Linked DNA regions of Macaca fascicularis. The protein of the gene in region 1 purifies or fractionates together with the protein of each later gene. This does not show direct contact. Links are inferred from orthologs where the notes say so. Each region holds a gene or a part of one and is shown in the gene's direction. Other genes may lie near its edges.

Evidence for each region. Proteins that work in one complex are often made in the same cells at the same time.
Region 2: the proteins of FASLG (region 1) and SNX9 purify together in Homo sapiens (co-immunoprecipitation; 3 studies listed by BioGRID and IntAct, with this or other methods). This does not show direct contact. The link is inferred for Macaca fascicularis from reciprocal best matches to the Homo sapiens genes FASLG and SNX9.
Region 3: the proteins of FASLG (region 1) and SNX33 purify together in Homo sapiens (co-immunoprecipitation; 3 studies listed by BioGRID and IntAct, counting the BioPlex papers as one, with this or other methods). This does not show direct contact. The link is inferred for Macaca fascicularis from reciprocal best matches to the Homo sapiens genes FASLG and SNX33.

Annotation. Positions count from the first base shown.
Region 1 is NC_088375.1:30,264,104-30,268,319, forward strand, and holds the start of FASLG (tumor necrosis factor ligand superfamily member 6), read left to right. Parts: upstream 1-1,409; 5' UTR 1,410-1,629; coding exon 1,630-1,974; intron 1,975-2,525; coding exon 2,526-2,571; intron 2,572-4,216. UniProt on the Homo sapiens protein: Cytokine that binds to TNFRSF6/FAS, a receptor that transduces the apoptotic signal into cells. Involved in cytotoxic T-cell-mediated apoptosis, natural killer cell-mediated apoptosis and in T-cell development.
Region 2 is NC_088378.1:66,161,071-66,165,229, forward strand, and holds the start of SNX9 (sorting nexin-9), read left to right. Parts: upstream 1-1,352; 5' UTR 1,353-1,541; coding exon 1,542-1,553; intron 1,554-4,159. UniProt on the Homo sapiens protein: Involved in endocytosis and intracellular vesicle trafficking, both during interphase and at the end of mitosis. Required for efficient progress through mitosis and cytokinesis. Required for normal formation of the cleavage furrow at the end of mitosis.
Region 3 is NC_088381.1:52,871,565-52,875,807, forward strand, and holds the start of SNX33 (sorting nexin-33), read left to right. Parts: upstream 1-1,436; 5' UTR 1,437-2,627; coding exon 2,628-4,098; intron 4,099-4,243. UniProt on the Homo sapiens protein: Plays a role in the reorganization of the cytoskeleton, endocytosis and cellular vesicle trafficking via its interactions with membranes, WASL, DNM1 and DNM2. Acts both during interphase and at the end of mitotic cell divisions.

The DNA of each region.
Region 1 (4,216 bases):
CAGAGTTAAATTTGAATGTCAGTTATATGATGAATAATTGTTTAGTGTATTCCATGTTTGGACGTGTTTAAGACATACTCGTCCTAAAAATTATGTATTATTTATCTGAAATTCAAATTTAACTGGGCACCATGTATTTAATCTGGCAACCATAACAGGGACAGGACACAGAAATATCGGCAAGGACCAGGCAGGCCTTTCAGATGGTGAGGTGATGTGTGAGACACAGGCCGCTGGCGGAGGCTGGGTGACCCAGAACACCTGTCGCTCATTCTCAGGAGCAGCTGCTACCTACTTCCCACTGATTGGGTTTGCAGAGATGGCCTCGAGGGTGTCTGATATTCTGATATTGCAAAACAGAACAAAAATATGTATTTTAATGTGTATTTAAAATGTATATATATTAAAATATTTTTAATATTGATATTAAAAGTGGTCAATTGGGCTGAGTGCAGTGGCTCATGACTGTAATTCCAGCACTTTGGGAAACTGAGGTGGGAGGATGTCTTGAAGCTAGGAGTTTGAGACAAGCCTGGGCAACATAGCGAGTCCCCATCTCTACAAAAATAAATAAATAAATAAATTAGTCAGGTGTAGTGACTCATGCCTATAATCCCAGCTACTTAGGAGGCCAAGGCAAGAGGATTGCTTGAGCCCAGGAGTTTGAGGCTGCAGTTAACTATGATAGCACCACTCCACTCCAGCTTGGGTGACAGAGTGAGACTCTGTCTCTATTTAAATAAATACGTAAATAAATAAGCTGGGCAAACAATGAAAATGAAAACATTGTGAAATACAAAGCAGTTCTGTGGGTTCCACTGTTTGCAGCCTCTGATCTAATTTCTAAAGAGGGTGTAGCAGGTTTTTTAACCTGTAAATTATGGTGATTGGCAGGTCAGGGTAAATGGTAGTTGTGTGTGGGGAAGCGATGATGGCAACAGGTGTTTTCCTCCTGCAAAAACTAAAATGTGGGAGTGACTTCTCTGGCCATGGCTCCATGGTCTCTCCCCTCAGAGCCAATTTCAGTAAAATTTTTATAGTTTAAAAAATATGGTTCTGAACAATTTTTGTTAGAGGTATTTTGGTATTTTTAAATAGTTTTTTGGTCGTATACATGGTAGAATTCTTAACATTATACAATTATAATGTATAAAAAAGGATACAATTATAATTCATAAAATTATAGCCCCACTGGCCATTCTCCTGTAGCTGGGAGCAGTTCACGCCAACAGGGCTCTACCCCAATGCTGACCTGCTCTACAGGATCCCAGGAAGGTGAGCATAGCCTACCAACCTGTTTGGGTAGTACAGCGATAGCAACTGAGGCTTCCAAGGCTTTCGTCAGAAGATTGTGGGCGGAAACTTCCAGGGGTTTGCTCTGAGCTTCTTGAGGCTTCTCAGCTTCAGCTGCAAAGTGAGTGGGTGTTTCTTTGAGAAGCAGAATCAGAGAGAGACATAGAGAAAGAGAAAGACAGAGGTGTTTCCCTTAGCTATGGAAACTCTATAAGAGAGATCCAGCTTGCCTCCTCTTGAGCAGTCAGCAACAGGAGTCCTGTCCTTGACACCTCAGCCTCTACAGGATTGAGAAGTAAAACCGTTTGCTGGGGCTGGCCTGACTCACCGGCTGCCATGCAGCAGCCCTTCAATTACCCATATCCCCAGATCTACTGGGTGGACAGCAGTGCCAGCTCTCCCTGGGCCCCTCCAGGCACAGTTCTTCCCTGTCCAACCTCTGTGCCCAGAAGGCCTGGTCAAAGGAGGCCACCACCACCGCCGCCACCGCCGCCACTACCACCTCCACCGCCATCACCACTGCCTCCACTACCGCTGCCACCCTTGAAGAAGAGGGGAAACCACAGCACAGGCCTTTGTCTCCTTGTGATGTTTTTCATGGTTCTGGTTGCCTTGGTAGGATTGGGACTGGGGATGTTTCAGCTCTTCCACTTACAGAAAGAGCTGGCAGAACTCCGAGAGGTAAGCCTGCTGGCAGACTGCTGTGCCCTGGAGGCACCAGGCATAAGGGGGTGGAGGGCCCACTGCCTGGCTTGCAAAGTGCTTTTCAATCCTTTTTTTTTTTTCTTAGAAATGGGTTGTTCTAGTTATTCTATTCTATAGGCAGAGAAATGGAGGCTCATAGGAGTGAAGGGAATATTTTTTATTTTGTAAAGAATCAGAGCCCAACAGTTTTTCTTTCCTCAGTTGTCAACTCAGTCTGTTGAACCACTTACTGCCTCATACCTAGTGATTTAAGGAGTAAAAAACAAACAAAACTTTTAAGTTTTGCTTGGAAGTAAATTTGTTCAGATGACCAAACTAAATCTTGAAAATACTTAAAATACTGGTACGATTTCAAATCACAAAACTGAGGGACAGTGAAGCAAAATTGCTTGACCAAAGCCTGAGTCAGCAAAAGTTCTGAGGTATTTGGATTCTCTTTCCAGGGCTTGGTTTATTTGACGATTCTGTCTCTTTTGCTTAAATAATTTTATTTTTATTATGCATCTTTTTTCTTTCTCTTTTACTAGTCTACCAGCCAGAAGCATACAGCATCATCTTTGGAGAAGCAAATAGGTGAGTCCTTTTTCACATGTACATTGAGTTCCTAAAGGTGATCCTCAGCACTGAAATATGTTAATGGAATGCCTTATATTCTGTCCTACACTTTGGCTTATGTATACTATGAGAGGAATCCTGGCTAATTCGGAATCTCTGGTCAGTATGATTCCTTGAGCTGCTTTAAAAATGTGAAGTGAATTGAATTGCTCACAATCAATATAGCTGAGCACGGCACACAATTCAAAATCACTTCCGCTTGACTTTGGAAAGAGACACACATATACAACCGTGGACTTTTGCCCCCTGAGCAGTGGTTCCAGGCCTGTCCCCTTCCACAGACACCCTGGTCCTGGCACACATGCCAGTGGCTATGACTTCTGGGAAGAGAAGGCGAAGTGAAGGCAGAGACAGATGTTTCTGAGAAACGTCCTCTCCTCTTTTAAAGCCTCTAAAGAGATCACAGTGAAACTTTATTTATAAAATGTTTTATAGGATGTAAGCTTTTAAAATGTGGCTAATCAATTCCGTACATTAGAATGGTTTTTCTTGAAGTCACTGAGAAGCTGAAGGGAAGACTTCAGCCATCATTCAAAGGATGTTCAGCTTCAGAGGCAGTCATGAGGTACCCTTGATCACAAAGGAAAATCCTTTGTATGGGAGCTAGGGCAAGAAGACGATATGTTGGAACACTGATCTCGTGAAATTTCAGGGCATAGTTTTGCAAGCTCTGTACAGATGGATTTTACAATGTGCTTCACTAGCCTAAGATTCATTGAAATTTTAGATTTAGATTTACAATGAGATTCACTGAAGGTTTAGAGTTGGAAGGAAGCTTAGAATATCTAGTCCAGCCATTTCATTTTTTTGGAAGAGAAACAAAATGCCAGACAGATTAGGTGAATATGCCCAAGACCCCTAGTATGGAACTGGGGCTAGAAGGAACACAGGCTCTTGATGCCTTGTCACCTACAGGGCTTTCCGGTACTGGACTGGTGCCTCATGAAGTAGGGAAACTCCTGTCTCTCTGTAGTGAGCATGGAGTGAGAAATAGAGGAAAAGCAGGATACCTCTGCAAAGACTATAGATAGATCGCATCCTTAGAAACTCAGAATAAAGAAGAAGGCAGCACTGGCCATCTATTAAGTGAAGTAAGTTTCAGTTTCTCTGGATGTGGCTACTGCAGGCAACCCAGTCGCCTGTCTACTGTCCTAGACTGTTAAGTTCTTATAGGAGCCACTGTTGGGAAGCTCTGGCCCCTGAGTCTGTGTCCTAATCCTTAAATGTTAGAAAGTCCATATGTACACAAGCAGAGTGGAAATATTTGCTAGAAAAATAAAGCCTCTGGAGGATGTCTCAAATAAGATCATTTTGAAAACCTGTGGAATGTGCCTGGTCTGATAGGTACCTAAGCATTCATCTTTTACCTCCTCTCTGGAGTCAATTTAGTGATTAAAAATCAAATGACCAGACGAGTCATGTCCATCTACCCCAGTAAGCAATTATCTTCTCTAGATCAACCCAGATGAACCAGAAATTGTTAAATTATCACAAGGAAATCAAATCAGTAACTTTACTAATAAGAAAAGAGATGCAAACTAAAAATAGGGAACACCAATTTTCATCAAATTAGTAAAGTTAACAAAAACCCAGACTGACAAAG
Region 2 (4,159 bases), on another chromosome or scaffold:
GTATTACCAAAAGCGCAAGTTATTTAAGTGAGCCCTGATTCGCTCTTCTTTGTAAACAGTGGACAATAATGAGCTTCTCAAACGTTTCTTATAAGGATTAAATGAGATGGGGATGTAAAAGCCCAGTATATTAGCAAGCAGGCTGTCAATGAATATTGGCCTCCATCTTTTTTTATGGAGAAAGACAACTATTTATGCATATTATGATGACTATAGCTTAACCATGAGCTCAACAAACACAAAAATTCACAGAAAATTCTGCGATACCGTATCTATTTTAAACCACATTATTGAATGTAACTAGTGAAACCTCAGGTCAAATAGAATGTATTTAAGGAGACACAAACTTGACATTAACTCTAAATATCAGAGTATTGAAGATTTGATAGTTGTCTCTTCTTACAAATATATCCCTCATAATAAAAAAGCACTCCACTAATATGCCAATTATGATACATCTTCCAGTTGTGTTTTGTCCTTGAGCGAAAAATCTTGCTGCTCAATTCAAGTCATTCGTTTATTCATAACACCCATATATATATCTCCAACCCTGGAGAGAAACACTGACAGAAAGATGGAAAATTTTAGAGCCCTCGTTTCCACTTCAGAGAGCCTGTTGTCCCCTAAACCTCTTGGGCCCTCGGGCATTTTTAAACTTATCAAGATTCCAGAATGAGGTTAATGGGACGTCACAAAACGAACCCCCCACCGTCCCGTCCCAGGGGCTCCAAGCCAGGACCCCAGCCTGAGGGAGCCTCCGGGCAGGAGAAAGAGGCCCAGGAAGCCATTGCTCCGTTCCTTCCCGGCTGTTTACGTGGCACTCAAGGTACTCGGCCAAGGGCACGGCGACCCCGCAACACCCCCGGCGTGGGGCAAAGACAGCGGGGTTGCGGGGCTCCTGTCTGCCGGGAGCGTCGAGAGTTCCTGCCCCCCCGCCCGCCTCATGCACGGAAAGCCCCGAGCCACGGCGTGCGGCGCTGGCCGAGCGTGAACCGGAGTCGGGTTCGGCTCCCCCGAGCGGCTGTGCGGGCCGCGGAGCGCTTCCCGTGGGGCGGCCACGCAGGGTGCGGGCCATGGCCCGGGGCGCCTGTCCGGATCCCGCCGCCGCGCGGGACGCAGCCCCCGTCCTCGACCCAGGGCGCCCGGCGGCGGCGGCAGCGACTGCCCGGGGCGGCGGCGCGGCGCGGCGCAGCGCGGGGGCGGCCAGGAGGCGAGGAGGCCGGGCCGCGGCCGAGGGCCCAGGGCGCGCTTCCGCCGGGCGCCGCGCGCGCCGCGGTAAATGGGAGGCTCGGCCGGCAGGGGCGGGGGCCGCGCAGCCGGGGACTTTCAGGAACTGCAGGAGCGGGCGGCGCGGGAGTAGCCGAGCGCCCAGCGGCTGGGCCTGAGCGTCGAGACTCGGGGCCGAGGCGCAGGAGCGGCCGCCGCGCCGGGGCCCAGCCGGAGCCGCCGCCCTCGCCCTTGCCTTCGTCCGCGCGGCTCAGAATCACCATCCGCGGCGCGGGAGACAAGCCGGCCGTCCCGGGCCGGGGGACCCGCCCGCCATGGCCACCAAGGTGAGGGGCGCGCAGCGCAGGCCCGGCCGGTCGCTCAGGCCCGCGGCGGCGCGGGGACGGTCGGGGCTGGGGCCGCGGGGAGGGTTGGGGCCGGGGGTGGCCGAGGGGTCACTCTGCGTCCTCGGTGGGGTCCCCGGGCGGGTCCGCGGCCCAGCCAGTCCCTTCTGGGCATGGGTGCGGCGGACCGTGCAGACGGCCGGGATCGCGCCGGGGGAGGGCGTCGGGTCTGGGCGCGGGTTGGGACCCCGGGCGCAGCGACGTTTGGGAAGTTTGCACCTGAGCGTGGGCTGCGGCGGGCTCGCCGGGAGGGGCCGCGAGAGCGGGACGGAAACTTCCCGCAGCCCGGGGAGGCCCCCGAGGCGACAGGCTCTCTGTGGCGTCCGGTGTCCCCGCGGCGTCTGGCGTCCCCGCCGCCCCCACGTCCCCTCCCGCTGCCGCCCAGGGGACCCTCGGCCCCGTGGGGCGGGTGGGGGTCGAGACCTCAGCAGAGAGGACGCTGCGCTTCCCGTCCCGGCCTGCGGGAGCTCGCGGCCGGGGAGAGACGGAGGCTGGGACACCCCGCGCCCCTCTGCCTTCTCTGCTGTTATTTTTTTCTTTTGTTTTGCTACCTTCTCAGTGTGAATGGTATTGCCGGCATGAATAAAATATCAAGAGGGAAATGACTGTGCTTTCGATTACGTGTTTGCCTAAAAAAGGCCCAGGCCCGAATTACGTGGTGGAACTTTGACTCCTGCTTGGTAATTGGCTAGGAGCGGTGGTTTGCTTGTTTTGCATTATTGTTTATGAAATTAGCAGTCACTCTTTGCTACCTGAATCTTCAAAAGCCACCCTCCCCCACTTCTTTTCCTTGGGCGTTTTCAGTAGTTACTTGGTGTAAAATAGTCACTGGGGAGTCATGGTCGCGGAAGGAGGACCTGGGGGAGGAGGCTCTGTACCTGAACCATTAACTGTTCTGTGATACGCTGTGAGGAGTAGGTTTACTTTTGCACTTAGTTTTTGTAGTGTCACTTTATTAGCATCAGCACCCCTTTCCCTATTTTTTTTTTTTTTTTTGAGATCTCTGAGCTACTTTTGGGTTGCTAGAAACGTTATTTTTTATATTTCGATAGGTGTTTGCTTTTTTTGGTGGAGTGTTAAGGTAGGAAATGGTAAGAAATGTGAAATCTGTTTAAAAGATCAGCGTTGCTTGACTTCGGTCTGCTAGATGTTGTCCTGTGGTAAATTTTGTGCTCTGAATCCATCTAGGTGCAGCGTTTATAGAGAAGTGGGGATTCTCCTCCAGGGAACCTGTTGCTGCTGTTACTGAAATAATTACCTTCTTGTTAATATATTATTGCCTGTGCTGTGCTTTGGTTTTATTAATGTGATAGAACTTGCCACCTTTTGAACTTATTAATTTTGTGTTGACCTTTTTAAAAATAAAACTTAGGCCAAGGATTTCTAAGGAAATTTGATTTTGAGGTTTGTTGCCAGACACTCCAGAAATTACCAGTTACACATCCTAGTACACGCTCATCTTGCAACCTTAACAGCGGTTTATAGGCTGGGCGCGGCGGCTCACTCCCACCTGTAATACCAGCACTTTGGGAGGCCGCGGTGGGCGGTTCACCTGAGGTCGGAGCTCCATACAGCCTGGCCAATATGGTGAAACTCCGTCTCTACTAAAAATACAAAAATTAGCTGGGCGTGGTGGCGCGCGCCTGTAGCCCCAGCTGCTCCGGGAGGCCGAGGCAGGAGAATCGCTTGAACCCGGGAGGCGGAGGTTGCAGTGAGCCAAGATGGCGTCACCGCACTCCGGCCTGGGCTACAGAGCGAGGAGACTCCGTTTGAAAAAAAAAAAAAAACCAAGGCGGTGTATGACATAGAGATCTGTCCAGTGGTGGTCTGTGTGTTTTTACACTCCGGTCTACTGAGGCATGTTACCTGTACTGTCCTTTAAGTGGAATGCAGTTTAGCAACTAGTGCAGGTATACGTAGTGAAATTTTTATTTCATAGTTAAGCCTGAACTTAATTTTTTTTTCAAAAAATTGAAAAGTGGTTCTTGTATATTAATCTTGAATTGCATGTGTCTTTGCTTAAACACGAGCCTTAAAACATGCATAAGCACTTCCTACTTCGTTATCTACACCACTCCGAAGGCAAATTCCAGTAATTCTGTTAGTTTCTTTCGCTGTCTAATCACTGTTCCACATGGTGCTCATTTCCATGTCTACATTGTGACAGACCATTTCCATTTTAAGAAAAAGAAGAGCAATGAAGCAGTTATTAGAAGAAGACCCTTCCTTAGTTTTCTGACATCCTGGTGATACTTGGGTCAAACCAAAGTCTCATTTTTTAATTGTCCCCAGAGAGACAAGTTGCTACTTTCACTTGCCCCATATACACACCCCTTCCCCACACCTGAGTAGTTCTGTTTTTTTTCTTCGTCTTCTTCAAGGGTGGGGAGAATGTGCTTAGTAGTAATGACTAATTTTTAATAAATGGCTCCAGTGGCACTCAGGCTGTTGCTGTAAGTATTAAGTGATGAAACGTAAATTCAGGATCTGGATATTTTAGGGGATGTTCATTTCCCTTTGAATTTACCAGAAACTTGGCTATAGTATCT
Region 3 (4,243 bases), on another chromosome or scaffold:
GGAAGATCTAGCTGGACAGGGTAGACAAGACTCCAGGGTACAGCCAGGAAAGGGGATCCTCCTGAAGCCTTTGCCTCATCTTAGGCACCTCCTCCTTCAGGAAGGTTTCCTTGATCCTTGCTCCACCCAGGCTGGAGTAGGTATCCTCATGTGCACTTTTCATGGCACTGACTAGTCACACTGGGCAGGGAGCATTTGTCTACTTGTCACAATACATCTGAGCTTTTGGAAAATAAGGATAATGTCTTAATTGTCTTTGTAGCTCAGGGGCCTGGTGCAGAGTAGATACTCAGTTAATGTTTCTTGAGTGCATGACTTGGCTGAATGAATGACAGAGAATGGATTGATTAAAGACAAGAGAGGATGGACTGTAAGCCCCCCAGGATAGGAACCCCGACTGACTTGTGGTGTACTCCCCAGTGCCCAGCACAGTGCCTAGCAGATTCAGTGCCCAAAGTGTTCCAGATATGCTGACCGAGGATCAGATCCCACTTGCCTCAAGACTCTCTACCTGACCACCTCTCTCCTTGCTGCCCCTGGCTAGTACAGAACATCCAGTCCCGCTGCCGCACTAAGCAACACGGAACCGGGTGGCACCTAGACTTGTTCCCTGTCGCTGCAGATGTAGGGTAGTGTCTTTCCCTCCTTCCAAGCTAGTCGCCCAGGGCAGGGTCGCCCTATCTGGCTAGGGTGCTGCACCCTCAGCTGTCGGTATCTTAGGTCAGACGCCCGGAACGCGCAGGCCGTTTCTACCCCTCCGGAAAACAATCTCCGAGCTGCGCCACGACCCCGTCCCTGCGGAGCAGGAGTGAGGAATGGGAAGGTGGGAAGGCGAGCCCGCGACTCTGCTCCCCAACCCCAGCTGGCACGGCTTTTCACGCACCTCTCCCCGCCCGGCCCGATTTCCCCATCCTGGCTCTGGCGCGGTGCTCCTTGCAGCCCCACGCTTTGCAAACTTTGGGAGTTTTACTCCATTTGCGTCACGGAAAAGGCAGGAGGATGACGGAGTCCAGGAAGCGAGGCAGCAGTGGCTGGCAAGCTCCACCGCCGGGCGCTCCAACCACGGGGGCGTGAGGTGTCTCCCGGCGAGGGCAGACAGACGGAGGGAGAGCAGAGGAGGTGGCGGTCCCAGAGACCAGCCCCGGAGGCTCTCGGGCTCCCTCGTTCCCGGGTCGTTTCCTCCCTCTTGCCTCCGGGACTGAGCGAGGGCACTGGCCAGATGGGAAGCCGCGCGGAGGAGTAGGCGGGGGCTCGGCTGCAGCGCCCCGGGCCCGCGGGAGGGCGGAGCTGGCCGTCCCTGCCCCGCCGGGACGCACGGAAGTGCAGCGGAGTTTGCCCGATTCTCCAGCCTGCTTCCCCCTCCCTCCTCCCTCTCCCCACCCCTCACCTCCCCTTTGGCGATCCCCTCCTTCCTCGGGACGCCACCTCCCGGAATCGCGTTTTTGTTTTGGAGCTGCCTTCTCGCTGGCGGCGCGGAGGGTCTGCGAGCGCAGGGGAAGGCAGGCTGGGGGCGCAGCCCGCCCCCCACTGGCCGGGTCCCGCAGGGCGGAGCGGAGGACGGACGGACAGACGGCCAGCCGCGCCATCTGCTCGCCGGAGCTCACTCTCCAAACTCCAAACTGTTGAGTGTGTGCGTGCACGCGAGGGTGGGGGTCGGGGGTCGTAAGTCCCGGGTGAAGAACTGGTTTCTGCTGGGGTTACCTTTGGACGGGGTTCCTGGGATTCAGAGCAGGGTCAGCGTCAGTCTCAGAAACTGCTGAGGAATTAGGCAAACAAAAGAGACCACTCAGCGACTGGCCAGAAGTCGCCCGACCGCCTCGTCGCGCCCCCTCCTTCCTCCGGGGTTGGGACTGGCCACTTCTGGGGCGGGGAGAGGGCGCCCGAGCCGGCGGGGGCTCCGGCTGCGCAGCCGGGGTCGAAGAGTTGGCGGCCTGTTGTGTAAGCCTCAGTCCTTGTTTTCCCGGCCTGGCTCGTTGTGAAGCCGGACACATCCACCCTTGGACTCGATTCAGGCGGCTGCTGCTTTTCTCCTTGCCCCTCTTGGATTTTCCGGATATTTGAAAACCCAGTGGCCCAGGAGCAAGAGGAGGAGGAAGGAGGAAGGGGCAGATCTGCAGAGGAATGTGAGAGCCTCCCAAAGCCAGAGTGGCCAAAAGAATCTGGGAGCCAGAGGGACAGCCGAGCCCTGCCTGGGTTTCTGGAATGGTGGTTTCCGAGTGAGTCTCTTCTATTTTAGAACGTTGTTCCAGTGGAAAGTGTCGAAATTTTCCCCTCGCAGGGCAGATTTCTCCAGGTCACTTGACTTTTCTTCTGGGAGTAGGAGTTAGGAGAGACTCCCCTCTAATCCCCCAGGGGCTGCTAAGGGAGGAGGCTATGGACATGAGCCCTCCCTGCTCACAAGCATATGCCCGGAGACCTGATAGGGCAGTTTCTGGGCCGTGGACATTGCTTTGAAGAGCAGAAGATTGGACAGCATCTGTGGGTGCTGAGACCCCACCTTAGGACCTGAGAGATTGAACTGTGTAAGCGCCATTCAGCTGCGAGTGCATTCTTGGACTTCCTTGTGAGCATCCCGGGTCTGGACAGGACCCTCTCCTTCCCATCTGTCTGTACCACCCAGCCCAACCATGGCACTGAAAGGCCGAGCCCTCTATGACTTTCACAGTGAGAACAAGGAGGAAATCAGCATCCAGCAGGATGAGGACCTGGTCATCTTCAGCGAGATCTCACTGGATGGCTGGCTGCAGGGCCAGAACAGCCGTGGGGAGACAGGGCTCTTTCCTGCCTCTTACGTGGAGATCGTCCGTTCTGGCATCAGCACCAACCATGCTGACTACTCCAGCAGCCCTGCAGGCTCTCCGGGGGCCCACGTGAGCTTGTACAATAGCCCCAGTGTGGCCAACCCAGCTAGGAGTGGTGGGGGCAGTGGCTTCCTCTCAAACCAGGGTAGCTTCGAGGAGGATGATGATGATGATTGGGATGACTGGGACGATGGATGCACAGTGGTGGAGGAGCCACGGGCTGGTGGGCTGGGCACCAATGGGCACCCTCCCCTCAACCTCTCCTACCCTGGTGCCTACCCCAGCCAGCACATGGCCTTCCGGCCCAAGCCACCACTGGAGCGGCAGGACAGCCTGGCATCTGCCAAGCGAGGCAGTGTGGTGGGCCGTAACCTCAACCGTTTCTCATGCTTTGTGCGTTCTGGAGTGGAGGCCTTCATCCTGGGTGATGTGCCCATGATGGCCAAGATCGCTGAGACATACTCCATTGAAATGGGCCCTCGTGGCCCCCAGTGGAAGGCCAACCCCCACCCATTTGCCTGCTCTGTGGAGGACCCCACAAAACAGACCAAGTTCAAGGGCATCAAAAGCTACATCTCCTACAAGCTCACACCCACCCATGCTGCCTCACCTGTCTACCGGCGCTACAAACACTTTGACTGGCTCTATAACCGCCTGCTACACAAGTTCACTGTCATCTCAGTGCCCCACCTGCCTGAGAAGCAGGCCACAGGCCGCTTCGAGGAGGACTTCATTGAAAAGCGGAAGCGGAGACTCATCCTCTGGATGGACCACATGACCAGCCACCCTGTGCTCTCCCAGTACGAAGGCTTCCAGCATTTCCTTAGCTGCCTAGATGACAAGCAGTGGAAGATGGGCAAACGCCGGGCGGAGAAGGATGAGATGGTGGGTGCCAGCTTCCTGCTCACCTTCCAGATCCCCACCGAGCACCAGGACCTGCAGGACGTGGAAGATCGCGTGGACACTTTCAAGGCCTTCAGTAAGAAGATGGATGACAGTGTCCTGCAGCTCAGCACCGTGGCGTCAGAGCTGGTGCGTAAACACGTGGGGGGCTTCCGCAAGGAATTCCAGAAGCTGGGCAGTGCCTTCCAGGCCATCAGTCATTCCTTCCAGATGGACCCCCCTTTTTGCTCTGAGGCCCTCAACAGTGCCATTTCTCACACGGGCCGTACCTATGAAGCCATCGGGGAGATGTTTGCTGAGCAGCCCAAGAATGACCTCTTCCAGATGCTGGACACACTGTCTCTCTACCAGGGCCTGCTCTCTAACTTCCCTGACATCATCCACCTACAGAAAGGTAAGACCCAGTGCAGGCAGGAAACCCATCCTGAGTCTGACTCTCTGCTGGGCCCTGGGGAGATGGGGATGGCCTGGATAGAATGGAGCAACTTATCTTTATTTCTCTGTCTCAATCATTCATTTAACAAATGTGTTGGACTGGG